Coturnix japonica: one gene and its partner. Each later gene encodes a partner of the first gene's protein in a complex. Links are inferred from orthologs where the notes say so. Each region holds a gene or a part of one and is shown in the gene's direction. Other genes may lie near its edges.

Evidence for each region.
Region 2: the proteins of FZD4 (region 1) and NDP are in contact, whole or in part, in a crystal structure (PDB 5BQE), measured with the Homo sapiens proteins. The link is inferred for Coturnix japonica from reciprocal best matches to the Homo sapiens genes FZD4 and NDP. Residues at the interface, in NP_036325.2 of Homo sapiens: Ser51, Met52, Gln54, Asn55, Leu56, Gly57, Gln95, Phe96, Met105, Thr107, Lys109, Ile114, Asn152, His154, Met157, Cys158, Met159, Glu160, Gly161, Pro162; in NP_000257.1 of Homo sapiens: Asp33, Ser34, Pro36, Arg38, Met40, Arg41, His42, His43, Tyr44, Val45, Asp46, Lys58, Met59, Val60, Leu61, Lys102, Lys104, Leu106, Tyr122, Leu124, Ser125.

What each region holds. Positions count from the first base shown.
Region 1 is NC_029516.1:168,783,346-168,798,704, forward strand, and holds FZD4 (frizzled-4), read left to right. Parts: upstream 1-7,696; 5' UTR 7,697-7,980; coding exon 7,981-8,229; intron 8,230-8,900; coding exon 8,901-10,229; 3' UTR 10,230-13,564; downstream 13,565-15,359. UniProt on the Homo sapiens protein: Receptor for Wnt proteins.
Region 2 is NC_029516.1:100,197,157-100,212,409, forward strand, and holds the start of NDP (norrin), read left to right. Parts: upstream 1-5,487; 5' UTR 5,488-5,631; intron 5,632-6,554; exon of another isoform or gene 6,555-6,690; intron 6,691-15,253. UniProt on the Homo sapiens protein: Activates the canonical Wnt signaling pathway through FZD4 and LRP5 coreceptor.

The sequences.
Region 1 (15,359 bases):
CAGGAATGAAAGATCACTCCAATGCTTCACCCAGTAACAATAAGAATAAAATTCAGTGTTTGTTCCATTGATAACAAAACCTCTGTACAGTGCTAGAATACCAGAGTGATCAGCGCTGTAGAAAAGGTTAAGGGTGCGGCTCCATGACAGTTGAAGCCAATCTAAGCTAATCTGTTTTCTTTTGTGGTCACACCACCCGTCCTCGTCATCACAGCACTATTTATTTCAATTTGTTCAGTTCATTTTTTTTTGACAATTAAACTTGCACCTACCGTGCCAAGGAGGCAGAAATGCACGTGGGACAGGGCAAGTCAGGAGGAATGATATTTCAGGTCAGAAAATGGTCATGGAAGTGGTGCTTTGGACAAAGAACCACTTGTGGAGACAGATGCAATTTGTAGGTCTCAATTGCTTTGCACCTACACAGGCAAGGAATACAAGGTAAATATAAAATGGCAGCAAAGCCTTCATGGACAAGAATGAATGCCATTATTTGTGTTAATTTTGAAAGTCCTTGAGTGTGTATAACAGCAAGCTATATGATTAATTTCCCAGCTTGGATAGAAATTAGGAAATCTGTTTGCCGAAGACTTGCCAAACCAGTCCTTCTCACAGCCTGGAATGAAGTTTGTGTTTGTCTTTACTCATATAGGAATAGGTAGAGAAAGATGTGAATGTCATATAGAAATGGTTTACAGAAGAGAAACTCCGTTTGTGTGAAGAGGGATAAACTGTACTGGAAGAGAGAACAGAATAAAGCAAATACCTCCTGCCATGACATTTATGCTGAAGACTATCTGTATAAACATATCAGCAAAAAAATAACATGCTTGAATGAAATAACTATACTGACTCCCAACCTGGGAGTATACTGTGACCATCTGAAAAGAAAACAGCCATCAATAAATCCAAAAATTAAAGGAATTACAGGGGAGAGTGGAGTTTGGAATTGATTTGCGCTCAGACCTATATTTTAGATGGCCCACAAAGTGAAGAACAGTGCCACTGTAAACTGGGCTGTCCTGCCAGAGCTGGAAGAGCCACATATTGCTGCCTGGTGAAACCCTTCTGCCATTTTAGCAGGATCTGAATGCAGCTGTGTGTGTAACATGGTGCCCCTTAGCTGGCATGTGAGCTGCTCTTCATCAGAGTACAGACAACAGGTACTATCAGACAGCTTTGCAGCATTGCATCCATCCGCCCTTGGTATATTCACAAACCCTATGAAAGGAGCATAAATCTCACTAACTTCAACTCCTGGCAGATGTCAAATTTCTTTCCCAGGAGGATGACCCACTGCCTGCCTAACATGACAAAGATGGTTTTTTACCAGCCATGCCCTGCAAGTCAATACTTGCTGTTATGTAATTAAACGTAGCGTATCAGCTCACACAGGCTTTTTAATGGGCAAAATAAGACATTTCAAGATTTGTGGCAAGATTCATCAGCATGCTTCACAGCTCTGTGCTGCTCCAGTGACACAGAACAACCTTAAGCCTGCAGTAACCGATTCATTAAAGCAGCTTGTTTCTGTACTGCTGGAGCAGCGCAGAACAGCTGAAGCGTATCAGCAAATCTGCCTCCTGAGCTCCTCTTCTGAGGGCTGTGTACCTCAGCACAGCTTAATTTCTGAAGTCTGCTTACATATGAGAAGGTTGTACAACCAGCCTAGCTTATGGAGACAAAATATAGCAGAAATGACCTCTGCTGCTGCTGCGGAGAGAAAGCAAAATGGGACAGATTTAGCAGGAAAGATGACGCTGCAAAAAGGAAACTAAGCCATATTTATAAAGCAAGACTCGTGACCTCCAGGAGAAATAGAGCTCGGTCTGTCATTTTCCACCATGGTTAAATAACGCCTCATGAACCATCAGTCTATTATTTCCAAAGATTCGGACTAATTTGCTATTCCAAAATGAAGGCAAAAAAGTGCATTCCTCATTCAGGACTGCACTCTGCACTTGCCAAATCCAAAGTTATAAAACCAAGCTGTGTTGAAGTTATCTGAGCATGAAAAAGGCCTCTGAGCCATTTTATTTTTTTCTAAGAATACTATTTATCATTTTCCATAAAATAAAATAAAATAAAATAAAATAAAATAAAATAAAATAAAATAAAATAAATCATGATCAAGTGTGAAAAATTTCAGGCCAAAATGCAAATCCCTGAGCCTTGCAGACACAAATATGAGCAGCAGCTCAAGCTGAAAGCCATTTTGGGACACAGCAGCACCGATTCCAAAGTTCAGGCTGATTTCTGCCTCCCCTGTGGGTCAAGTTACAGTTGGTGGATTTTCCCAAAAGGAGCAGATTTTGTTGAAATCTGGCATACTGTATCTCTGCAACACAGCTTTCCTGGGTGGTTTGGTCAAATCACAGTATCATAGAATCACAGAATCATAGAATAGCCTGGGTTGAAAAGGACCACAATGATCATCCAGTTTCAACCCCCCTGCAGCATGCAGGGTCACCAACCTTCTAACCAGGCTCCCCAGAGCCACATCCAGCCTGGCCAAAAAAAAGAAACATTGCCAAAATGTTTCTGTCATACCAGATCCTGAAAATGTCTTTGCCAAATAAATGCTGATTTGCTCTGCTAATCTGGCAGACGACATCCTGGGCTCCATCAGAAGAGCCAGGGACAAGGAGGTGATGGTGTCTCTCTACTCTGCTCTTGTGATGAGGCCACACCTGCAGTACTGCATCCAAGTCTGGGGCTTCCAATACAGGAAACAGGAAGCTGTTGGAGATGGTCCAGAGGAGGGCGACAAAGATGATCAGAGGGCTGGAGCACCTCCCATACAAAAACAGGCTGAGGGAGCTGGGCTTGTTCAGCCTGAAGAAAAGAAGACTGCAGGGTGACCTCAATGCAGCCTTTCAGTACCTAATGGGAGCCTATAAACAGGAGGGGAGTCAACTCTTTGAAAAGGTGGATAACAGCAGGACAAGGGGAAATGGTTTTAAGTTGAAGAAGTGAAGCTTTAGGCCAGATTTCAGGGGGAAGTTCTTTACTATGAGAGTGGTGAGGTGCTGGAACAGCTGCCCAGAGAGGCTGTGGATGCCCCATCTATTCCTGGAGGTGTTCAAGGCCAGGTTGGATGGTGCCCTGGGCAGCCTGGTCTAGTATGAAACGTGGGGGTTGAGGTTCCTTCCAAGCCAAATCATTCCATGATCCTATAATGATTCTATACATGAATCCTTCATTATCAGAGGAAAGGGGCTTTGGCAAAACTGTTAAAAAAAAATCTACATATTCTTAGGACGAGAAAGAGAAATACTTGCATGAAAAATTCTAGGACAGATAAAGTGAAATGTATATGAACACCTGTCATCTTATGAGAGTTATGGCCAGCTTTGCTCTTGGTATCCCATTGTATGGTGTGTGAGATACATCTGTGCCTTTCAGATTTCCACCCACACAAATAACCTCAGAAATTCTCTAAAACTGGCACCCATTTTGATGATAGCTTAAATGCAAACAGTTTCTTGAAATGGTGCATATTAAGCAGCACTGAAATTTCCTGTTTACAATGCTGTGAAAACAAAGTCTAAGGTCTCTGTGCAGACTGAGTTAACATTATTGACTTTCAGGGGTCATGGAGCAATTATTGACCCATGCTGGCATGCAAGGAATTACACATGTGAATTCAGATATTGTATGGATGTGTCACAGCTCAGCTGCACGGCAGTACCTTAAAGGAGGCTACAGCCACGTCGACACAGAGACATACCTCCTGCTTTAAAAAGGTCAGCCTCTCAAAGTACAGAATAACAAACGTGTGAATAGTAACCAGGAATCAATTGTAAAGATTTTACTAGATTCCAGAAAAAGCCATTATGAAAGCGATTTACCTTGATTTTAAAAATTCAGCTAAAGGTATAGGCGAAAAATTAAAGAAAACACCTTTAATAACATTGTTAGAACTATAAGGTTAAGAAAAACATCAGCGATAAATGGGAGAAAGAAGACATTGAGCTGAATGAAAACAAATGCAGAAGGAATTAAGGGAATGTTATAAGCAAAAAAGAGAAAGTCAATGGACAGACGATGGAGTTTAATATAAACCAAGACAAAGGCACAAATGCTACGAGTTGTGGAACTGTCAATAAACGATGCGAGTGACAAATGTCCAACAGATATTTGGGCTGAGTTTTGGAAAATGTAGACAGGAGAAGTTACAGAGAATAGCGATCAATGCAATCTTATGGTTTCAGTGGTAACGTAAGTAGATATCCCAGAACATCTCAAAGAGTTGCACATGTTTAAAAACCTGCCTGTTTCACTCACTCATATCCAAGAACTTTGTCATAAATCTGTTGGATGGCGATGTCAATTCCCTCTGTGTCCCAGGAGTGGCCATTTGCCAGCCACCATTAGACATCTCCCGGTGACCCTGTACTTCTGGGCTAGCTTTTTAGAATGCAATCCACCTGACCATAAGTAGACATCTAAATTTGGTTAAGGAAATATCCCAGTGCAGTATCCACGCTTGATAAGAAATCAAGAGGGTGCCTGAGTTTCCTCAGGTCTGCCCACAAGCAGTAGGGTCTACCAATGTGAGGCTGCAGTCTAAAGGGCAGATGATACATCCTTGGATGTACAAGCAGGCTGATCTCATGTAGCAATGAAGATCTGCATGTCTGACATGAGTGTTACTCCTACTGGACAGCCAAACCACATTCTAACATCAGCCTTCAGGAAAACACTGATGCCTTGAAAATACTCAGTTATGAATCCCCTCAGATCTCCTGCTGCAAGTATCTGAGAGATACAGGAGATGTTCTATAATAAAGAAACATGCTTGCAGCTTAAGTAAATACTCAAAGAAAAAATACTTAACAACTTCAGAGGAAAAGAACAATAATAGAAAGAGGATAACAGACTATAAGTAATATCTTATATTCATGTAATTCCTATAATGTGAGTTGCCCCCTGCAGTTGTTTGCTTGTCTTAGCTGACTCAAAAGGGATGAAAACTCAGGCTCAAATCTCACTCCTTTAAAAACAAAAGCATGGTTAAATCACTGGATAAGACACCTTGCAGTAAGAAACTTGGGAACTTCAGTCCTTTTTGCTTACTGCTAAAAGGCCAAAGGGTGACTAATTCGGTCTGACATTACCCACAGGGATGATCTTGGGAATGGCTTCTCACCCCGGCCACTAAAGATATAACAAAAGCCAGAGGCTGGAAGCAGGAGATAACTCAAACTAAAAACCAGATATAATTATTGGCAGCCACAATAAATAGGGAAATTCTTAGCAGCTGATTCTTTAATGAAGACAATCTCAAAATCAGATTTCTTAAATATATATTCAAATAATAAACAAGGAAGTAACGCAGCTTGGGCTGTGCAGGACTCAGGCCAGAATCTCACAACTGTCCAGTAATCTAAGAATCTCTACACCAACTATCCCAGAGGTTTCTTACTTTGATCTGCTTCGAGAAGCTATTATACACATGCTCATCGTGGTGACATTTAATCACTGTTAATATATGCACAAGGTTCAAAGCAGTGGAATCGCCATTTTTTTCCAACTCAGATCTCTGCTACGATTTGCCAGCGTTCTTGTTTTGAAAACTAATTCCCATTATCCAAAAGACTCTCCAAAGCAAACATGGCAGTGTAGCACTTCCTAATATTTACTTTTGTGTTCTCAAAGAAAAAGCAATAGTGGTAGTTATTATTTTATGAAGGGGGGGGACGGGGGGGGGGGCTCTTCTTCTGAGAAACATTTGTATCCCACTGCAGCTCTAACATGTCCTCCTGTTCCTTCCACTGAGTCAAAGGGTCTATTGGCAGAGGGCTTTGCTGAATGTGTGCAGCAGGCAAATTGTTCCCAGGGAATTAGGCAAAGGTTTGCTCTGGTCTACCCCACTACGGTGCCTTATTGCCACAGCAATCTGCAAGTGCAAAGGGTTTTCATATCTTTGGGTCAGGCTGGATGGGGCTCTCAACAACCTGAGCAAGCTGTAGGTGTCCCTGTTCATCACAGGGGAGTTGGGCTAGATGACCTTTAAGGGTCCCTTCCAGATCAAATGATTTTATGATACTAAGAAAAAGATTCATAGCTTTTAGGGTCACCGTGATCCTCCTCCCTCCAATCTCCTTACCTATATAATTTAGACCACAACTTCTCCCATGGGAGTCTCTGCCTTCTGCGTTTGTGTTTGCCTGCATGGAACGCCCAGTGCCCATTCCCTGTCCTGATGTAGATCACACTCTCGGTGGGGCTGGGAACGGCTCAGTGGACATTTGCAGTACACTGTGTGCATTCACACCATTATCACCAACTGAGATTAGCAGCTGAGCACGGCTGGTCACAGAAAGCAATGCTTATGAGTAAATACGGCCCTCACCAGATACGGGTTGAGCTGCTGACTGCACTGCAGGCTCCTTGCACGACCTTGGGACCACAGCACCGTCTGCCCCTGTGTTAAAAAAGTTAAGATAATATAACTTGTCTGCTTCACAAGGGTTTTATAAGGCCACAGTCGTTTTATTGGAGCAAAGCATCAGGGTGATGAGGGCTATGTAAATACCTGCACTCATGAAACATCCATTAAAACACAATCCCCAGCACTTGAGGAAGAAGATCATTGCCATGGCCATGCACAGATGGACACACAGCTCTGAGACAGAGCACCCACACATGTCCCACACTGCAAGCACAGTGACACGCACCCAGCCAGGTCATTTAACCGGGGCTCTACAAACATTTCATTAATAGATGACATATTTTTTGCTAAAGGAACAACCAGCTCTACCAGATTTTATTACAGGTGTAAATTATGTGGAGTGCAAGCCTCATTTGTCTGTTCTTAATCCATTCTCCCACTAACACTCCGCAGTTCAGTCCCACAGCCCTCAATCCCACAGCCTTTTTCTCATCACTCATGAGTTCTACAACCATCATATTTATGAGATTTACACAAATACCATGAGCTAATGATAGCAGTGCCCTCCTCATTTCTTGCTGCCCACGAAGGAACACCACGACCTAAGTGTAACCAAGATGTACACATTTCTTGAACACCTCCAGGGATGGTGACTCCACCACTTTCCTGGGCAGCCTGTGCCAATGCCTCATTGTTTCCTAATATTCAACATGAACCTCCCCTGGCACAACTTGAGGCCATTCACATTCATTAACAGCAATAGGGTTCTTAGGTAAGAACCCTATTGCTGTTACCTGGGGAAGAGGCCAACACCCACCTTGCCACAATAGGGAGTTTTAGAGAGCGATAAGGTCTCCCCTGAGCCTCCTTTTGTCCAGATCAAGCCATAAGGCTTGGGCTCTGGATCAGGCTGTGGGTGCCCCATCCCTGGAGGTGTTCAAGGCCAGGTTGGATGGACCCTGGGCAGCCTGAGCCGGTGGGTGGCAACCAGCCCATGGCAGGGGTTGGAACTGGATGAGCTTTAATGTTCATATATGTTCACAGAGGTTTGGGTTCATTCCAACCCAAACCTCTGTGTGACTCGAAGCGGATACATGAAAGAGGGAAGGCAGCACCTCGGAAACTGCCCCGGCTCTGCCCACAGCCTGAGGAAGGCTCGGCTTTACCCTGCCCCTGGGCAGCCCTACTCTCGTGGAGCCCCCGGGGCAGGCAGTGCTTCGTGGGAGCGGGTCTCACGCCTTGGCCTGGAGGGGACGCACGCTGGGGACAGCAGGCACACCGCCCCGGAGTGAAGGAGCGCCCGGTGTTGGCAGCGGGCGCTGCCGACAAGGCTCCCCGACAGCGGGGCGCAGCGGGACGCTTCCCCGGCAGCGCGGGGCACGTCCCCGGGGCGGCGGCGCTGGGAGGAGGCTGAGGATCGGGGAGGCAACGTCCCTCCCCTGGGCAGTTTCTTGGCTCGGCGGTTTAAGAGCGGGGCCGCCCCCGGCCCCTCCCCGTTGGAGCCGGCCCGTGCGGCACGGCGCGGCCGGGGCTGGAGCCCGCAGCCCGCAGCCCGGGGTCGGGGCAGGTGGGGCCGGGGGGCGATGGAGCGGAGCGGCGGTGGGGGCCGAATGCTGGCCCTGCTGCTGGCCGGGCTGCTCGGCGGGGCGCGGGGCTTCGGAGACGAGGAGGAGCGGCGATGCGACGCCATCCGCATCGCCATGTGCCAGAACCTGGGCTACAATGTCACCAAGATGCCCAACCTGGTGGGCCACGAGCTGCAAGCGGACGCCGAGCTGCAGCTCACCACCTTCACCCCTCTCATCCAGTACGGCTGCTCCAGCCAGCTCCAGGTGAGTGTCGGACGGGGAAAGGGGGGATGGGGGTCCGGCAGCGGGAGCTGAGCGCGGTGGTGACACCGGCCGGGGCGCGGAGCTGCGTGCGAGGTGCTCCGAGGAGCGGAGAAAGCGACGATGTTGTATTGCCGCTGCAAAAACAAGAAAGTAGTCGGCCTTACAGTGAGAGAGGAGCACGCCGTGCTCGGGGGGACCTCGAACCGAAGCGTTCGCTAAATGCCTTTTCTTCTGTTTGCTCGCTAGCTGCGAGATCCAGGCGGTGCCTCCAACGAATCTATTTGGTTTAGACCTCTTCGATTTGTTTAGGGTTTGTTTTGTTTGTTTGTTTGTTTGTTTTCTTTCCTAAATGGCAAACCCTGGAGGTTCACATCTGGCTGAGTCCCGCTCACTGTATTGAAACTGATGGGCTCAGTTTGCGTGGAGCTCATCTATCTAGGGAGCAAAACATGCGGGCTCTGCCTGAGGAGTGCATTTGAACTGAAAGAAGGCAGCATTTCTAGGAGTTTTCCTCCTCTGCTTTTATTGTTTTGGGTTTGTTTCACGTTGCTTCCTGTTGTTGGAGGCAAAGGACCAAAACTTACTGCTAAAAAGGCAAAAACTTGTTATATTTTGACCTGCTGGAGTCTCTCCTAACACGCTCGTTATTTTTTTGTTTCTCTTTCTTGCAGTTCTTCCTTTGTTCGGTCTATGTCCCGATGTGCACGGAGAAGATTAACATCCCTATAGGTCCCTGTGGTGGCATGTGCCTCTCCGTCAAAAGAAGATGTGAACCTGTTTTAAAAGAGTTTGGATTTGCCTGGCCGGACAGCCTGAACTGCAGCAAATTCCCTCCCCAGAATGATCACAACCACATGTGCATGGAGGGGCCAGGAGATGAAGAGGTTCCCCTTCATAGCAAGACATCCTTGCAGCCTGGAGAGGAGTGCCACAGCATGGGATCTAATTCGGATCAGTACATCTGGGTCAAGAGAAACCTGGACTGTGTCCTGAAGTGTGGCTACGACGCTGGGCTCTACAGCAGGTCAGCAAAGGAGTTCACAGATATCTGGATGGCTGTGTGGGCCAGTCTGTGCTTCATATCAACTGCGTTCACAGTCCTGACCTTCCTGATTGATTCATCCAGATTTTCCTACCCAGAGCGCCCAATCATATTTCTGAGCATGTGCTACAATATTTATAGCATTGCTTATATTGTGAGGCTAACTGTGGGCCGGGAAAGGATATCCTGTGATTTTGAAGAGGCAGCAGAACCTGTTCTTATCCAAGAAGGTCTTAAGAACACAGGATGTGCTATAATTTTCTTGCTGATGTACTTTTTCGGGATGGCTAGCTCCATCTGGTGGGTTATTCTGACACTTACATGGTTTCTGGCCGCGGGACTCAAGTGGGGCCATGAAGCTATAGAAATGCACAGCTCTTATTTCCACATTGCAGCCTGGGCTATCCCTGCTGTGAAGACCATCGTCATTTTGATTATGAGACTGGTAGATGCTGATGAGCTCACTGGCCTGTGCTACGTTGGGAACCAGAACCTGGACGCGCTGACGGGCTTCGTGGTTGCTCCACTTTTTACCTACCTGGTTATTGGAACTTTATTCATTGCAGCGGGATTAGTGGCCTTATTTAAAATCAGATCCAATCTTCAGAAAGATGGAACTAAAACTGACAAACTGGAGAGGCTGATGGTTAAAATTGGTGTCTTCTCAGTGCTCTACACCGTCCCGGCAACGTGTGTCATTGCCTGTTATTTCTATGAGATCTCCAACTGGGCCGTTTTCCGCTATTCGGCTGATGATTCCAATATGGCTGTGGAGATGCTCAAAATCTTCATGTCCCTCCTGGTGGGAATCACTTCAGGTATGTGGATCTGGTCAGCTAAAACTCTGCACACGTGGCAGAAGTGCTCGAACAGACTGGTGAACTCAGGGAAAGTGAAACGGGAGAAGAGAGCGGATGGTTGGGTGAAACCTGGGAAAGGGAACGAGACTGTGGTGTGAGAAAAGGACAGCGTCCAGATGGTCTGCTCTCACCTGAAGGACTGATCATGTGAAAGAACTGCAGTGTAAGTGTTGGGAGCTGAGTAAGGAGATGGTTACAAAACTTGTCTCTTGGGGAAGGAAAAAATAATGCCTTAAAGAATAAACAAACAAACAAGTAATGCTGGAAATATAAAAGCCATAAGCTGTGCTGCCCAAAACAGGAAAGCCCAGGGAGGCTTTAAATGCTGTGAAATATCCAAACACATCGTCTTCCTTCTTTTTTAAAAGCAGGATGCAATATACCAAAGTCTTTAAAAGCAATGGGATAGTAGGCCATAGCTGTGGGATATTGTTTTATTTTCATCATGCAGCTGCTGGAGGAAAGGTGGTCCAGGTTAAAATTCTGGGCTGAGACAGGGGGAAGTTACTAGAAGATGGAGCACCTCAGATAGGTGTCTTCTTTCTGAGCATTGTGAAGGAAGTGCTTTCTGAGGGCCGTGTCTCTGTGCCCTGGGGAATTCCATCACACTCTTAGGCTGCACAAGTCAGCCAAGAATCAGGTCCTGCAACAGAGAATCACATGAACTGGTCTGGGAATTACCCGAAAGAAGGATTTAGTGAGGCATTAGTGAGGATGACTCTTAAGTCATCTGATGGTCCAGTAATAATATTGGCTTGTTCTTTTCACCGCCTATAAACTGGTCTGATCTGAGTGCTCAGACCCTGCTTTGAGCAGGAATTTGGACCTCCCAAGGTCCCTCCCAACCTGAACCATTCAGTGATTCTGCCCATGCTTTATATTTTTAAATAAGCTTTGCTTGAGGTCGTGGTCAGCAGTAGAGGAACTGTGGGAATCTGGAAACTGTGCATGCTGTTACGCATCAGCTGTCGTCGTCCGCCAGCCTCTCTGTTCCTATTCCTTCAGGTGCTACTGCTATTTCCAGCTCACTGTTTCGTTCTGCTGAGCTTAATAGCTTTAAATAAAGTCTTACGTTATCGTGCTCCTTCCTACAGGAAAGAGAAAAACGAGTTGAGGGTCTCTTTAGAACAATGTCAGTTTTTTTCCAAGTAAACTTATCTGTCTCTCTGGAGACCCACGGCATGAAGCAATTAAGTCTTAATATATTTCGTTCAGTGTGATGGTATCTCTGCAGACGCCAGTCTGGGGGAAGAGAAACGTCGAGTTCCTTGGCAACCTCATGTTCACACAGATCAGTTGTATAATTATGTGTGTCAGTTACAATTAAAAGAACATTCTCAGTCCATGACATCGCAGTACAGCTGATTGCCTCAGAACGATGCTCCAGTTCCTCACTGACAGCTATGGAGTGGTTTTGTTTTATTTTATATAGATACGTACAGAATGTGTGCAGGCACTCAGTCCTCAGGAACGACAGAGACTCTGTCAGTTTTTGGAAAGGGATCCGAGAGAAGAGATCCAACTCCTTTACAAATAATGTTGTTTCACAGCGACTGCCAAGTTTTCCTATCCTTTTAATTGAGGAGGCATTGGCTTGTGCTCATGGGGAGCTTGAACCTTATGTCTGGGACTTGTTTGGCTGTTAAGAAAGGCGGTGCGAGCAGCAATAACCCATAAATATTTAAGACAATGCTGTTTCAGTGCTCTGTCCCTCTGAAGGACCTTCAGCTCTGAGTACCCCACGTTTTTGCTTAGTTTGTGTGGATCCTGCTTAGCTACTGGGCATCCCCCAGTGCCCTGACTGCTGTGATCTTTGAGGGCAGCTGAGAGCACACATATTGCTTTAGCACAGCCCTCACTTTTCCTACAGGTGCCCACGTGCTTCCCAAACCACAGTTCATTCCTGCTCTGTCCCAGCAGCGTGTGTTGTTTCAACGGCAGTGTTGAAACATGTGCTAGAGCTTATTAAATAAAGAAGAAAAAAAAAAGACACTGAAAAAACAAACCAACCCTAATTGCAGTCTTTGTGGTTGGGCTCCCTCTCCAGCAGGACTAGTGACAACTTGACACATTCTGCTCAATGTGCAGCCATTGTCTCGGCCAGCGTTGCATACCATCTGAGCCTTTTGATCCTCTCTCTAAATTCTCTCACCATTAGTGTTGTGTTTGGATCTGGTTATTCCTATGTGGGCAAGGAGTTCTGCGAGTCAGAAATCTTCCGATGGCTCAGCCTTTCCACCATGTGCTTCATCTCCCATCGCAGCAAGGGGCGTGTGATCAGCAGCTGTATTTTAACTTGCAGAGGGTGAGGACACAGTATGAGCCTTGTCTTGCAGCGTAGTGTCAGGCTGTGCCAAGGTGTCACATTCACTCATGCGTCCTTCAATCTGAAGCAGTTTGGATAGTCTCCTGGCTGACATGACTCCTGTTTGACCTGACTGATCCAATAAACAGCATTTTTAACTGTGTTATGTACACAGAAGTGGATGTTAAGTAGTACTCCTGTTATCAGATCCCTGCCTGTGACCCTGTGGACTGTGTCAGACGGATATACTTGACTGGTTGGAGACACTGAAAATGAATGAAAAGAGGACAACTCTGAGTAGCCTCATGAGGGAGCTGGGGACCACTGCAGCATGAGGCACTCAAATGCTATGGGCAGCAGGTGGGGACCAGCTGCTGTTCCTGAAGGAACATGTTCCTAGGCCTCTGTGGCAGCCCCAAAGCAACATCAGCTGTAGCAGCAACAAAGTCACATCCCACAAATCACAGAATCATAGAATTGGTTGAGTTAGAAGGGACCCTTTAAGGTCACCAAGCCCAACTCCCCTGCAACGAACAAGACACCTACAACTAGATCAGCTAGACCCCCATCCAGCCTGACCTTGAATTCTTTGAAGGATGGAGCATCCCTCACCTCGCTGGGCATCCATATGCATTCACCTTGCCTTATTCTGGGGATGCTGAGTGGGAAGTCAGAGCAGACAACCCCAAACCTAGCAATTACAAAAGTATCTGCAACTCATACATTCTCTCATTTCAATGCTGTTAAGAGTTTAAAGCCAAAAAATGTGTAACTAATCCTGTCCCGGACATTCAGTTGCTGCAGTTATACAAGCAGAGACCTTTCGGCCCTTACCTTCATGGCACTGTGCTGTGCCCCCTAGTCCCACAACACTGACCACGGGTCTCAGGAGCATCTACTGGAGAGGTACAAGCTCCTTTGTCAAGCAGACAAGTCATCTCCTTTACCTGAATTTCTAAGGAAATAGACACTGATTATTTGGGGTGTACAGAAGATATATCTGCTTTGATGTATGTACTGTAAATTTCTAATTTATCACTGTAAAAAAAAAATAAAACAAACTTTGCTATTTAATTTTTATATCAAAATAAACTTTAACCTCTGTGGATAACCAGGGCGTTCCTGGCAGTCCTTGTGGTCTCGGTGACTTTGTTTCCCATATATGCCACACTGCTGTTGCAAATCTTTGCTCCTGAAGGGAGCAGTGTTCACACTGCAATGAATGCATGGCCCAAACGGGTTAAAGCAGCACAGTTTGCATCACATGTGGGTTGGGAGAGCACCTTTGCCAACTGGAAGTAGCTGGGAACAAAACATCGTTGGGCAAGAGCAAAGTATGTACACGCTTCAGTGCCTGCACAGGGGGTGGAAAGAGAAAGTCTTCCCAAGGCAGTATGCGGGACACAGTGCTGACTGGGGAGGGTGTGCTGTGCTGTGTGCTTGTGCTTGGGCTTGTCTCAAGTGGGTCACCAACACCAAACAGGAGTGAAAACATGGAAACACAGCTGCTGCTTTAGCAGCTTTAGCTCTGCCTCAAGTTGTGTTTTCCTCCATGTGTTAAGAGTGTGTGCACCCAGAGATGTGCAGAGAATTTGGGTCCTGGCGCTTGGTGGGGAGAAGCAGCATGACCACTAATTCAACCTACTGTCTACATTTATTTATCTATCTATCTATTTATTTATTTACTTAAAGCTTATTTTCTTGAGTTTTTTTAATGCTCCACTTACTTTTCATTCCTTTTTGTCACTTCTGTTTGCCAGAAAAGTGGGAGTTCCTTCTTTTTGTGTACATCCTTCACCCGTTTCTTTTGACACTGATAGCACAGTTTGTCATATTAATCACCACCTTTACCCAGTTAATCATCTACATCACAAAATGTTCTGTATGCAGGATTGCTTAATTAGCATTGTGTTATTCTAATAAGGAACTAAATCAGACTACAGTGGATAATAGCGAAGATGTACTATAAAGACAGTAGGAATTATCACCTGTGTATCTGTAGCTAATCAAGTTTTGAGGAGCAGCACCTAAAACTGATAATTAGAGTGATTTCTTCATGCCTTTGGCAGCTCATCACCGTAATGTTCTTAGCTGGGGATTAATGAGATCTCTGATTTGAAACTTATAATTAGGAGTCTTTAATATAGCTACAGTTAAACATAAATATTAAAGAGCTCCTAGGAAGTGGGGATCTGCCTCATGTTGGATTTGTTGGCATGAATGGAGAATCATAGAGTCATACAGGTTGGACAGACCGATAAGTTCATCTTGTTCAACCATCAGCCCATGCCTGTGACCACTAAACCACATCCCTCAGTGTCACATCTCTACATTTCTTGAGCACCACCATTGATACTCTCTTTAAAGAGTAAGTGATGAGAAGTTCATAGCGAAGGAGAGCAGAGTTCTGCAGCCAGAACTCAGGAGAGTCCCAGTGATGTGAAAATGTGGTGTCATGAGATGCTGCCTTCATCGTAGAGGTCTCCAGCACACCCTCCTTCCTCAGCCACCCATTCTGAGAATCTGAATCACCTCACTTGGATGGAAGGACCTTCAGGAGCATCAACTTCTGTAACTGCACTACATTTTCATCTCCTAATCTTGTCTGTCTGGCTACATGTGGCACTGAGCTGCAGGACAGAGCAGTAAAGAAGTTCTGGGTTAAAACAGTTTCCAGACTTTTCATTTTATGTTGCAAGTTACTCTTAACTTGGATTGTGTCTGAGATCTGCACCTGAAGGCAGAGCACTGCAGAGCTGCTCCCTGAGCCCTCCTCTTCCTCCCTGCAAGGCCGGAGCTGCAAAGTCTCCAGTGAAGCTGCTTGGAACACAAGTCTGTTGCTTCCACTGGAATGATCAAGTCTGGGTTTGAGCTGCTCACCCATGGGTGAGAGCCCTGTGGCACAACACTATGGCAGCTCTCC
Region 2 (15,253 bases), about 69 Mb from region 1:
GGGCATACTGTCCCTTCCTTAGTAGTCAGGCAGCAGCTTAAAAAGAAGATTTCTGTGGAAGGAAACAAAGGATATGGCTGAGGCAAAGTCAGACATTACATATCCTCAAGAGATTCAGGAGCAAAGTTGGAGGTAAAGTAACGACAAAACTTGAATGGGCAAACATGAGGGATGTAAGGTTTAAAAATGTGACTTCTTCACTTTTCCTGTATAACCTTTTCATTATGGGTTTGTAGGCAGCATATTGCAAGAGAGCCATCCGTGTCTGTGTCCTGTACCTACTGCTTGCTGAAGGCACCAGGAGGACACCAGCTTTGGGGGACACCAATTTTGTGTCACAGCATGGAATCATTTTTATGCTTGTTTAAAAAAATCTGAGTATATTTCACAGGCAATATGTCTTTCTGACTTCTGTGGTAAAATGAATAACCAAACAGCTCAGGCCTAATTTTCACATAATTCTTTATAGCTCCCTAAGTAGAAGAAGCTTTGCTATAATAATGCAATATGTGAAAGCCACGGAATAAACACTTCCAGATATTCTTAGCACACATTCATGTACACGTAAAAACTTTAAAACAAGAGGAGTATTTAAGTTTTAGAAGAAAATAGGCAGTTAGGTGTTAAAACAACCTTGCAAAATGAATCTGAGGGAACACATGACAGGATGACATAAGACATGAAGGACAAAAATTACCTGGACATTTGTGCTGCTTGATCCTGGGTTGTTATACATGGGTGTATAACTTTATGTACCAGAATTATTAATTATCTAATAATAATATCTGTTTGGTTTATTAAAATGGCAGAAAATAGTTTCTCTAAAGGTTCTGGATACTTTTTTTCTGTACATGTGTGTACATTGAATATATAAATATTACATTACTTGTTACTGTAGATCCTTCTCCATCATTGCAATACTTTCACTTCTCCCTACATTTCCAGCTATAAAAAGACTACCAGTGGTACAAAAAGGAGTGGAGGTACTGGAGCAGGTCCAGAGAAGGGCAACAAAGGGCTTGGAAAATCAGCCCTATGAGGAGAGGCTGAGGGAACTGGAGCTGTTTAGTCTAGGGAAAAGGAGGTTGGGGGAGACCTTATTGCTCTCTTCCAGTGTCTGAAATGTGCTTACAGTGAGGGCGGAGCTGGCCTCTTCTCACTGGTGACAAGTGACAGGACGAGGGGAAATGGCCTCATGTTGCGCCAAGGTAAGTTTAGGTTGGATGTTAGGAAACACTTCTTTACAGAAAGGGTAGTTAAACACTGGAATAGGCTCCCGAGGGAGGTGGTTGAGTCACCATCCCTAGATGTGTTTAAGCCGTTTGGGTGTGATGCTCAGAGATATGATTTAGCAGAGGGTTGTTAGAGTTAGGATACTATGGTTAGTCTGAGGTTGGACTTGATGATCTTTGAGGTCTTTTCCAACCTGAGTAACTCTATGATTCTATGATGATCTGCCCTTTTTCAATTCAGTAATTAAACAAAACACAGTCCTTCCACACGCTGTATTCCTATACATCCTACCTGTTTGCAGCAGTAGGGGACATGTTTGTGTCTGTGCATAAGTACATGTTTACATTTAAAGACTGCCCTTGCATATGTATTCTATTCATGGTCTTCACAAATACAACCGTCACACACACTAGGTGGTCCTTTTCTGACAGTACATTTGATGATATGGATGTCTGTTATCCACTGTCTAAGAATGCAACAATCACAAATGGAATGTTATGAACTGGCACCATTGGAAAATCCCTCAAATTGAAACATAAGGTTTCTTTTGCTGCAGAATTCTGAATACTTTTCATTCACAACAAGCGCACTCTGTAGAGGTGAAATTCCACTCCTTTGAGGAGCCAACCTGATGCTTGCTGATGTCAGTGGGGCAGAGAATTCAGTTGTACTGAACTGCAGGTAATAGTTATTCTTTTCTGTGTTTGGACAAGAGTTTTGTAGGTGCATACAGAGGTGAAATACAGAAGCAAGTATACTAAGACTTCAGGTTTGCGATGCATTTCATGGGGAGTCAGTGAGGGATGCTAGTAGAACTCTACACAGAGGTGAATCTCTTTCTCTTCAAAACTACAGACTTGACGGTGGATTTATCTGATTAAATTCTACCTGTATAAAAAATAGGAATTTAGTCTGACAGTTCACAAAGTATTTTTTGTTGCTCACAGGGAGAAAGACTGCTGTTGACAACTACCTTAAGCTGTCCTGAAATGAAAATAACTTGGGATGGAAACTCTGTTTGCCATTGGAAGAGCCTATACTCAGTTTTCAGATTATGGCTGCTAGGTGAGAAAAACTTTCTCTGAAGGGATCTCTGATTAAAATTGAGTTGTGAGCAGGACATCTTATCAAATATCTGGTCATTTCATGCACATAATCATCTCTGAAAACATACCTCTGATCTGTGCTTTGCACTTTTTCTATTTTGAGTGACTTTTTTTATGGGAAGAATTAAGCTACAGTGCTTGAGAGCAGACGAATATGAAAAACTGTGGGCCATAGACAGGAAATGGGCATGGCTGAGCAAGGACCTGCTGGTCAAACTGAGGGATAAGAAGGAAAAATATAGGCAGTGGAAGCAGGGATGGGTGACCTGGGAAGAATATAAGGTGGCTGTCTGGAGATGCAGAGATAGAACCAAGAAACCCAAGGTGATATGGAACCAAACTTGGTGAGGGATGTGGAAAATTATAAGAAGGGTTTATTTAGATACATCCGGCAAAAGAGACAGGCAAAAGGAGAGTGTACTCCATCTGATTAGTGAGAAAGAAGAACTGGCTTCAACAGTCATGGAGAAGGCTGAGGTACTCAAAGAGTTCTTTGCCTCAGTCTTCAGTGGCAATCATGCTTTCCATACAGCTTGTTTCCCTGAACTTCTAGGAAGGGACTGAGAGTGAAATCTCTTTTCACTGTAAGAGAAGAGTAAGTCTGAGATCACCTCACGAGACTGAATATGTAGAAGCCTATGGGGCCAAGCATTTTAGGGTCCTGAAGGAACTGGATGGGGCCCTGGGCAGCCTGGTCTGGTGGATGACAGCCCTACTAACAGCAGAGCTAGGACTAGATAATCTATAATGTCCCTTCAAACATGAGACAATCTATGGTTCTATGATTCTATAGTTCTTTTGGAAGGAGGAGGGGGGGCTATTTTTTATACTTTTACCTTTGTGCTTTCAATCATAAGTAAGTTCATTCAGACCACAACTGAGAGTGCCAGTTTGTAAGTCACCAGCCTATGAGGTTAATTAACTGCTGATTAATTTTCAGTTATTGCCATATGTGTTCTTGAAGCTGAAGATGAAAATGTGAATGCAATTTTTGTTGTTGTTGTCAAATTTAGTCCAATATCTGCAGATTTTCCTGCACTTGGAAATTGTTTCTGTGGCAGAAACCAAATAAGCACTTCTTCTCAGAAATGCCACTGTATGACATGTAATTGCTAATTACTGAGTATTTAACGTGTGCTTTGCACCCAACAAGTATCTAATAAGAATATTCTCTCCCATAGATGACACAAACTAAACAAACCTATGCTGCACCTTTTAGAACTCAAGGAGTGTAATTTTCAGTAAGGACTGTGAATTATCTACTGTCTCCTGGCAGATTTTATCCAGAAGCTGCTTAGTGTGTCTTTTGTCTTGGACATGGCAGGTCTTTTATGTGAGCAACCAGATATGTGAGTCACTTTCCTTCTCATAGATAAACAGAGACAAGTGGACATGGCAGCTGAATGACCAAAGGGACAATGCCTTCAGTTTAAAAAGCAGGTGTAGGCTAAATTAAAAAGCATTGTTCTGGATAGTCTTTTTAAGGTAAGCACAGTGCCAGAGTGTGGGTGGCATTTCAGCCTGCAGCTCCAAGTGAATGGAGATGATGCTGTCATCCACACTGGGTGCCCAGAACAAAGGAGGAAGAGAGCCCATACAGACATGGCCAGTGAGAGAAGGTTGACTAAAGAGGCAAAACAACATAAGCACTGAATATGAGGGGAAAATGTTCAGGAAAATGTCCTAAGGATGTGAGTCCTAAGTGGATCAATTTTTTATCCTGTTAGCCAAACCTGGCTCTGCAGCAAGGCAAGCCAAAGAATGTCTTCTTTATTGTTTCCATGATGCTTACTCATCTACAAGCCATTCCCCTTTTAGATTATTCTATTTTTAAGGCATAATTTCCATCTGTTCTTTGATCTAATACTACATAAGACATTTAGTTAATAACATCATCCATCAAATACCAACTTTCCTTTAGAGTTCAAACACAATCGACACAGGACCCCGTCCATCTGCTGGCCAGTGCCTCTGAACAGATCCAGCTTGTGAATGGCCAGCTATGTCGCCTATTTTTTAATTAACCAGCTAAGGTCTGCTCTTCTTCGTGCTCCGTACTGCCTCGGGATGACTAGGGGGCACTCCAAAGGGAAGGAAAACATGCTCCACTGTGGGAGTCAAAAAAGAGTTTTAGTGCATCCAGAGACATGCACAGGCAAATGAATTTGGGATGTTCTCATTGTAAGTAGGTTTCTCCACTGGATGGAGTCTGCCTTCAGCCTTCCAGGGCATTCATTTTTGCATAACAGGCAATATTTGAGTAAAAGGTGTGAAGGAAAGTATCTTCAAACACTGACATTCTATGGAGAATAGAGAAGAATGTTAACTAGATATCTTAAATATCTCAGCCTCTGAGAGCATATGAGGGTCTATTTGAGAGAAATGTCAGAATTTGGGGGCTGACTATTTGAGGTGCTTGAATTGCAGATTTACACACAAATATTGATACAGAAAACTCTTGTCTGCTTATTCAATTGGGAAGCCTGAGAACATCAGACAACTTAGGAGACCAATTGCAGTAAAGCAGCACAGCTCGGATTTAGGATATCTGAGCTTAATCACAGTTCACATAAAATCTAAAAAATAAATCTCAGGAAAAATAAAGGAGATTAATGAGTAACCCAGTGAAAAAGCAGTTTTGCTATGGATATTTTCCAAGTGTAAATACATATAACATTTTTTAATTATTATTTTCAGGTTATTTTCTTAGCTCTAATTACCTCCCTGCACTGTGGTTTGCTTTGTCTTGCACACAGCGCATTTATTTAGAATGGAATTTTATTCAGTACTTGTATTCCACTGTCTTACATATGCCCTTGCATACGTATCTCCAAATCTGAAACAATAACAACAACAACAAAAGCCCACGTTTCCTTCTATTCCCTGGCTTGCCAATAATAAGTCGTCCCTGCTGAGGGGAGCTTGGCTGGTGGCGTTTTGTGATTTCTCAGATAACAAGAGCTTTGCATTTCTGTGGAATTCCCATTTGCCAGCGAGCTGCTGCTGCCGCTGCCCTGATTGATATATGACTGCAATGGCACTTTTCCATTTGACATTCTCTCTCCCTCTCTCTCCCTCTCTCAGAAAATGCCAATGTGAAACTCATTTTAGTCATAGATCAGACTTAATTTAAATATTCCATTTAAACAGCCCTAACTTTTGTGTGTTGCAAATATAAAAGGCAAACCATGTGACAGAGGGACAGCAGAACAAAAGCATTTGGAAGCAACAGGACCTCTTTTTAGCTCTCTGAAGAGTTGGAGGGAAGGAAGGAGCAGAGCATTTGCTGAAGGTAAGCACACAAATTAGAGTTTCCTCCAGCTTTTGAATGTTTCATGGGCTTAAACAGAGAACTTAGTCCCTTAATCAGACAAACACACGTTCTCTGTGTGCTGACTTTTAATTTAAATGCGATACTGTAGGCTGGGCACAGCTTTAGTACCTGTCTCCTCATCCTTCTGTCTTTACATCTGTCTTCCTGGAAGATGCCTGTAAGCAAACAGAGAGGTGGCACAGTCTGAGCAACTTGCTTAAACATTTACTTTTGAGAGTGTGCCGGGTTCCTGTTTGCATCTCTGCACAGGCTCTCACTGTATGGCTTGGAGTGAGTGAATGGACGAGCCGGGTGCTGCCCCAAGTGTTGCTATTGCCATCACTGGCTTTGTCCCATTGCAGTAGGGAGTCATGGATGCAGGCAAGCCTGCTACTTTAAAACTGAGCTGTTTACTTTTATTGCTACTTATGCACATCCTTCTTTTGCCAGTCATCTGCTGGAGCACTCAGAATAATTCAAAACAACAGGCAATATTTATTTCTAGCTTTGTGTGTCACGCTCTGTGGGAGCACCCTTAATTTGCACGTTATTATTTATCCAAACTTCTGGGAAGCTTTACTACAGACTGGACAGCAGTGGCTATGGATTAGACTAGATTTCATACCCATCCTTGATTGGCTGAAGCCTATGAGGGAAGCCGTGGCGTTTGCCTTTGCTGTAGCCCCGCAGGGTATATTTAGTAGGTAGCCGACCCTCGGCACGACGCGCCGTGCTTGTGGCCGGGCGGGCGGTCGCTGGGGAGGGAGGATGCTGCGCGGGACCCCCGGCCGCCTGCTGCGGGAGGGGGAGGCTCTCGGCACCCTGAAATCCCGGCGTGCCGAGGCATCCTGTTGCTGTGTAGCGGTGTCAGGGGACGAGCATGGCTGTTCTCTGCCTCTCAGGGAGAAAGGAAGAGTTTTGCTGTTATGAGCCAAGAGATAAAGCAGCAGAGCAGTGTAAGTACAGTCCTTTGGAGTGGATAGTGCCCTGAGAGAGCCCTGCCGAGGAGGAAAGCCCCATCTCTCTGCTGAGACTCAGGTAAGAGAATTCAATCTATAAAAGTTCAAATCGATGGGTTCAGTAGCAAAGAAGAAACAACCAACAAAAAACAACAAACCTGAGTAACAAAGACAAACCATGTGAGGAGCAGTCTCAGTTGTTTGGGCTGTATTAGCTAAATGTTCCAGTGTCAGTAGAGGGACTCAAACTGAATATGAGCTTGAAGTGATAATTTTCTGGTGACAGATATGATTTTGCAAGGTATTCTGTGTGCACTGACTCCTGTGGGACTGTCAAGCAGATTTCTTGTTCTGCCCTTGAAGGTGATTTCAGTTTCTCCCACAGTGTCCCCATAATACATCCTATTTGTTTCTACCTCTGACTGATGGCAAGACAAGTGACTTGCTAAAGTTTCTGCAGTTCTTTAGAGACGAAAGAACCATTTTTTTACTATGAAACATTACAGTTTCTAAAGTTTAGTGACCCTGCCTAGTCACTGGGAGGTGAGGGCTCTGCAAACTTAGGATCCTTATGGGTGCTTTCCAACTCAGGTTATTCTATGATTCTATGAAATGATTATTTAAAACCGCCAGTGGGTACAAACTCAGTTCCTCGCTGTAAAATTATTTTCTATTGGAGGCAACTCATATGTCTAATGCAGGTCAATGAATGTGGATACAGTAATCACAGTGCTGTGGTTATTTGTCCTTCCTCCAAAGAAAATATATGTTTCAGGACCTCTGTTTTTTTCCTGTTGAATTGCTAATGATGCTCAGTTTTGCCCAGACTGTGAGACCTTATTCGTATCTGTGAGCAGTTATGCACATGAATAATTCCCTTGACTTAAATAGAACTGTTTGGTGAGTAATTACTTACCAGATTGAATCAGAGCTTACTAATGTGACTTATACCTTAACATTATTCATGCTGGAGCAATGCAATCTTATTTGTAATAATGATTTTATAAAAAATACTGTAAGATTTTCCAGTTAAAAGCAAATGGGGAAGGAACAGAAGATATTTCCAGCTTACAAAATAGGAAGAAATTTCATTTAGTTAAGGGATATAATTAGAGGCTACCACTGTTTTTTCCAATTATGATCTTGATATGGACAACATTGTGTAGAGTTAGCTGTAGCAGTACCCCAGGTAGCCATCAAACTGTTGCTGCACTCAGCAACTGCCACTGATCCCAAATGAACAACCCCTCATGTGCCATAGATGCTGAGGCAGCACATGTACACTCTTACTTGTTTGAGTTCCCAGTGCTGCCATATTTTTTGCCATGGTGGTCAGGAGGTGAATCACCTTCTTGCAGTCTGGTGATGATGTCTATAGTGACTTTTTTTGACAGGGAGCCCTTATGGAGTCAAATTAATTCCCCATTTTCTTTGGGCCACTGCTATCCTCTTCCAGATGCATCCGCTGCCAGATGCACTAGGAAGTGACCGAGGTTGTTGTTGGACTTTGAAGGGGGCTGAAGACCTATGCTGCAAAGCTTGGGTGAAGTCACTGAGACATGTTTTTGCAGCAAGTCTGGAAGATCATCTGTCTAATGGAAAGTAGAATTTTACAAAGATCCTGTTTCTCCCAAACACTACCATTGCAATTATGACTACCAACTACTATTACAAATAGAACAAGTTCCTCTGCCTCTAATATCCTGCTGAGTACCAGGAGGCACTTGCCTCTCTGAGGTTTGGAAAAGTTTTGCTACATGAGCCTGTAATACAGTGCCCTGTTATTTGAGTAATCACCTCTTGAACGTGGCTGGAAGCGGCCACATCAAAGCAGAGCACAGAGACCCTGGGGCAGACAGCAACAGGGGAACTTGCTGCCATGAGAGATTTTTCCCTAGCCCCATCAACCTAGTGCTCAGAGTCCTGAGAGCTAACAGCCCTTCCCAAAACTCTTTAAAAATAAAACCCTTCAGACTGCAACCCTCCCATATTGAGTCCTTTTGCTGAGCCCTGTTCAACTTTTGCCCTCTGTGATATCTCGTTCCATTGAATCACTGTGGGTTGTGTAAGCATGTGTTTCTTTTCATCAGTGTTCAGTATGCAGCGTCTCCACTCCTTGCCCTTCCCCACACCCTGGTATCTTGGGATAGGGCGAGTAGCTGTGCCCGCTTCACCTTTTTTCCTGCTCTTTCCTTACTTCTTTCTCGACAGTCCACTTGTGAGCTGGCTGGCAAGAGAAATGCTGGATTGCTGCTGGGTTAGCTCAGCTGTCTGCCTCTGACCAAGAGCACCCCTCTTTGCCCACACTTCTTTGCAGGCATACGAAGAGATGCTGCTATCTCTGCTGGATATGATCAGCTGTTATTTCCTTTTTATATGTGTCAGTGTGGAACATATTAAAATTTCTCAGCAGTGGTATGCGTGGAATCCTTCTGATGCCCCACCTCTAACTTAGCTGAACAATAAAAGCAAGGTTGTAGTAAGCCTTTGAGCAGCTGGCGGTCTATATATTCCTTCTTTTTTCACATAATCTAATTCAGACCATTACCCGGGTAACAGTGGCACTACCACTTTCAGACACCAACAGTTCTTGTCCCCTTTGTTGGAATTTAATTGTGTGAATTTCGCAGAGATCCCTCCTGCCATGAGCAATTCTAGCCTTTCTTCTGGCCTCCCAACATTTGGCTGCTGATGCCATGGAGACAGCGCACCCAGGAATTCCACTGCATTGCTGTTCTTCAGCTTCTCTTTGTTATTTTTCTACCTGCATCAATCACTGTTATGGCTCATGCTTGTCACATTTTCATGCTCATTGTTACGGAGCTGCAGACGTCGGTTCAGCAGAGTGGAGGCAGCACAGGTTACGTTGCCCTTTAAGACATGTGAGTTGAAGATCTGAGTTAATGCCTCCGCTCTGGTTTGGCAAAGGTTAAGCATACCACGGCAGTGACAATCGCATTACTGTCATAGCAGCACAGCTCAAAGAGAGTAGGACCTAGGGGAATGCTGTTAGATGACTTAAAGTTGCTACCATGAGCCAAATGCTTAGGTTCTGTAATTAATCAAGGTACATAGATGTTAGTCTGAATTTTGCCTGTCTATTAAAAAAAAAAAAGGATTTTGCTGCAGGGAACATTTCTTTCAGTGATGGGCTACCTCCAGCATGCATAGAACACTGCTCATCCTGGTGGCAAGGAAGTCTTTGCTTAACATTAAAGAATGAGAAACTCATTCCTGCATCTAGTGATAACTACAGCTCTACAGTAAATGCATTAAAAGTAATCTCTAATCATCAGGAAAGCAGTAGAATGAAAGCCAGAGAACCAGAAACATCCACTGTTTTGTAGCACACTCCAACAGGTAAGAGAACACATGCCCGAATGCCCTAGACCTCTCAGCAACTTGTAATTTGGCCAAGAGTCATTTTACCCTGTGTTGGGTCATAAGACTTACACAGAGGTAATTACTGAAGCAGATCCTATAGCTAATGCTCAGCTGGGAATATTTGCATGTGCCCAGCAGCCTCCACCCTGCTGGTTTCCTGCTGGGAGAGATGGGAACCTTTTGAATATAGCTTGGCTCTGAACCTGAGGGGCAATGCCATTCAGCACTGTTTGGATGAGCAAGTGCAAAGCTGGATTCCTCCATGTTTCCATCCCCAACTCATGATCAGGACTGCTCTGTAAGACACAAGACTGAAGAAAAAATCCAAGGCTGGCATCACCTTGCCATTAAACAGTTCTGCCTGCCCTGGGGCTAATTAGAGACAGATCCTATGCATGCCTCTAATGAATCTATTTAAAGTTTCCTAGAGACAGCAAAAAGAAAGAATAAAAATACAAGCGCTCTTTTGTCTACTAGTAGCTATTCTTTGCAAGTGTATTAAAAACCTTTCTCCATTTTTGTCCCTGCCTGTCTGCTGGCTGGGCGCCAGCCCACAGCACCCACTAGACGTTGTTATTTCAACTGCCCAGCAGCGCTGGTAGCTCTCCCCCCACTCAGCTACCTGGAGGACTGAAAACACACTTGGAGACTTGAAAAGGGGAGCAAAACTTTGCTTGCTCGAGTGCCGTTCAGCTGGAATTGTTCCATCTCATGCTCCCGGTCCCCTCACTGTGCCCCTACTTGTGGGGCCCTGCAGAGCAGCCACCAGAGCTCCAGGGCCATCAAAAGCTATGAGTTCTTCCTTTGCATGTGCTGCAATTACTGACTCAGTGTTTCTTAGGACTTACCATGGTTTTCCTATTTCATATATATGTATATATTTCAGTCTGCTTACCAGCAGTATTTTTCTTCAGAAATACTTACAATTGAGCAAAATATCAGAGCAGAAAATGAAATGTAGGCATTTTTCCAGTAGTTTGTCTGACATTTCTAGCTGTTCAGAACTAGTGTTCATTTTCTCATCTTGAGTTTTGTGGGACAGTGCTCTGCAGCTGCTGGCTGGCAGGTCATAGATCAGAGCAGCCCTCAGTAAGACCAGAATATATGCTTCTTTCCTGTGGACATCCAGATCAAGAGGCCCAAACCCCTTCTTCTGAGCCTGCTATGTATGTCTCATGCCTGGAGGTTTTTAAGGATGGGTTGAATGGGGCAGTGGGCAGCCTGACCTCTTAGGTGCCCATAGCGGGGAATTGCAACTGAATGGGCTTTCAGGTCCCCTCTGTCTTAAGCCATTCTATGATTCTAAGATTTATTCTCTTTTCCTTTTTGTTGCTTCCTTCCTTTCTCATGCTGGTAGCCAGGAACCTCCAGGCCTTTTCTTCTTGAATTGCACAGAGCTACACTGCTTTTTTGCTGTGGGCATGCACATCCCTGTGACTTGTTTAAGGCTCAGCCCTCAGTGTCCCTGTGGGCTCCCAGTCCTGTGTCCCAGTGGCCCTTCGCCACCTCTGTAAGCAAAGTGGAGGAGAGAAATCTGTCGGAGTGCTGCAAGGAGATATTTCTCTAACAACACAACAGTCAAAAAATAGGTAAGTATTTTGAATGCACATAAGGCAGGCCAACTACCTCAATGGCAGAAAATGGCTGCAGTAAAATAATGAGAAGAAAAGCACATTTATCAACAGAACTAAAGCATACACAGGATCTTATAAAGCCTCTCAGCTGACAGAAAGCAGGATCAGGCAGAGCATGTTAGGTTGTCTCTACTACGAGATGTAACAGTCTATTAAATTGCTCAAATGGTGACATCTATGATTTTGTCACCCAAGCAGTTCCTAGGCAAAGTGTGGAAGGTGACATGGCCTGGAAGCTGTCGAAGTGCTGTGGAGCCTGGAGGAGGCCTGGGAGCAAATCATGTAATGTGACCGCAGCACAACAGTTTTCATTCCTACCTCCTATCCCCAACTCTGACCCTTTTCATGGCAGTGGAGAACTTAACTTTGCAGAACAAATCCTAACATTAGAATCATAGAATGGCTTGAGTTGGAAGGGGCCTAAAAGACCATCCAGTTCCAACTCTTCTGCCACGACAAGGGACCATGAAGGTCCCAGATCCACTAGATCAGGCTGCCCAAAGCCTCATCCAGCCTGGCTCAGAGTGCAGGGATGGGGCACTCACAGCTTCTCTGGTCAGCCTGTGCCAGGGCCTCATCACTCTCTGGGTAAAGGATTTCTGCCTAATGTCTAATTTGAATGTAGCTTCCTTTCAATTGAAGCCATTATGCTCTTTCCTAACACTACATTCCCTGACAGATATTCCCTCCCCAGCTTTCCTCTAGGCCCTCTGTAAGTACTGGAAGGTCACAATGAAGTCTTCTTGGAGCCTTCTCTTCTTTAAGCTGAACAAGCCCAGCCTTTCTTCACAGGAGAGGTGCTCCAGCCCTCCGAGCATCTTTGTACCCTCTTCTGTGCCCACTCCAACAGCTCCACTCCTTGTGTTGGAAGCCCCAGGCCTGGACTCAGTACTCCAGGTGGGACCTCATGAGAGCAGAGCAGAGATGTACAATCACTTCCCTTGCCCCGCGGATCACCATATGGAGCAATTCCAGTTCAGATCTTAAGCAGGGTACAAATGCCCCAAATCTCTGCTCTTCTGATCCAATTTTTTCCAGGTATGACAAAGTTATCAGAAAATCTACTTTGCCCTCATAAAGATCTCTGTGGTGTTTTTCTCAGAACAGCAGCAGCAATCTAAACACACATACACACACACATACATTTAGTAACAGTTTTTCAGGGCTGGATTTTGGAGAAACTGAGTGGTCTTATAGCTTTTCAGTTTACACAACTAATTGAGAATGAGGGAACCACATGGCAGGTTCCAAGTAATTGTGTTTACCAAATATGCACAACACGCAAGGCCGGGCTTAGTTATATATACACACTGCTACTCCAACTGGATTTTGGCAGCCTCTGGAACATGAAAGATGTTGAGTGAATTGAACTGCATCATCATCATCAAGTAGAGGTCTCAAGAACAAAAAATATTCTGCAAATGAAGGCCAAGCCGAACCTACGTGCATGCCTAATTCACAGGCTCATAAGCAGGGAACAGCTAAGTGGAAGTACACCAGAAATGAGGTTTTCTGTTGCTCCCTTCCTATATTCCAGGGTAAAAGTTGAGCAGATCCAATAGACCTTTGGAGAATTCCTTGTTTCTTGATTTTTTCCATGATACATAGCAAAAGAGAATTTCTGTTTGTGTTCTCTCAAAGCAACTGACTAAATAATTCCAGATGATGGAATTTTTATTCTGTTCCTAGCACAAACCAAAAATCTTAACCTCCTCTGCTATTTAAATTACATTGAGACTGTAAGTGAAAAAATGCTTACTTCGAGCATTCAAAGAACAGGTAATGATAACAAGAAGTTAGTAAAACAACTTTAACTCTGCACCAGTATTCATGTGTGGTGCAGTCTTAGATCAAATGTTTGCATGATCTGGCTTTGGGATGGCTTCCATTTTTCCCTGCAGTTTTTAGATAACATTTGTAGCAGTTTTGAATGACAGCTGTAATTTAGCATGGTGAATTGGAAGTTTCATTCATTCTCTGGCCAAATATTTTTCATATCTAATTTTCATCCTAAAAAGATGCAGTAACCACTTCATCTTCTTTGTGGGATGCTGTAAAACAGAAGCATTTCACCTTCCTCTTAGCTCAGGAGATTGAATGCTTACCACAGGTTTTCAGATCAGAAGTAAGAGAAGGACTGCTCAAATTAAAAAATGTATATATAAGAAAGAAAAATATTTATCTGAAATTGTTGATTTTGACCAAAAAAAGTGGTATGTTCCAAATGATATAAAACACAAAATATCATCTTTAAGTGCATCTATAACAATTAATGATTAGAAGTGTACTTCTGCTTTGAGACAGATGGGTGGACAGACAGATGTAATTCCTGATACCACATAACGTGTAGGATTTTATAATTTCAGACAGTGTTTCAAAAAAGAATATATATATATATATATATATATATATAAAATAAAACTTGAGTGCTAATTTGAAACAAAATCCCACTGCCCGGTTTAGGTGGAAGTAGGAATGTCATGTCAAGGTGATGTACCTGAATGAAAATATTTAGACCTTTTATAACCAGTCTAGAAAATGTTTTACCTCTGGTCCAAATACACACTAACTTCTGTATGTCTAAACTTTCCTGTGAGATATATATATATTTTCCACATAGCTCAATATATGGTATATTTACTCGAGTAATGTATATGTGTACCTAACATAGGTATGACAGTAGATTCTGGAGGTGCAAATATCTCAGTGTTGTCTGCAGTCCCAGTTCCAACACATTCATTTTGCCAGTATGTCCATCAGCAACAGATCACAGCTTTTTCATGAAAGATGGGTCATGAAATACAGAAAGGTGGTCTCTTTTTACTAACAAATATAACACTCTGCTTGTCTTTTGTTGGAATTTTATTACCGAGCTACACTTCATTTATTTGCCAGGAAAGTATCAGGGAAATTTTAAAAGGCTGTTGAGTCTGCTAAGACTTTTTGTGCAGATTTTATGCTGTGCTTATCCTAAAGAAGGTACAGACGCTTTCCTTTTCTCACATTTTCCCCTCCTCCTTTTCAACTTTCTCACAGTGTTTTTGTGAGGCAGACTCTGTGTCATTCAATTATTTCCTGAAGCAAACTAGAGAGATAAGCCTTTGAAAACTGAGCCAGGACGCCAGATTTCTCTCACTGTATTAAATCATACTGATCAAAACCATAGAAAGATACAGGGGGGGGGAAAAAAAAAGAAGAATGGGACAGAGAGAGTGGGAAATGGGGATCCCTGGATGTAGTGGTAAATGAGATGAGTCCATCCAATATCAAGTATATTTTCTTGGACAGAGAAGGAGTTGCTGGGTGTGTAATACTGGTTAGCTATGCTGGAGAGAGACCTTGCCAAGCAATGTTTTGGTCAGCCTCTTTAGAAAGAAGAATGGGAAAGTAGGTAAAAGGTTAAACACAAAAAAAAGTTCATCACTCCTCCTGTTAGCTAATGCTTGGACAACATCTCTGTGAACCACAGCCCTGCTTCTGTGGAGGGCTCTGTCCCAGCTCCCATGACAGGGGTTTCCCTCTCGTCTTGCTGAAATGTCTGGAGGAATATTTGTTGAGATGAAGGAGGGTGTGTGCAAATGTGTCTGAAATCCTGTGTTTGGCCTTGCTTAAACTGCCTGTACT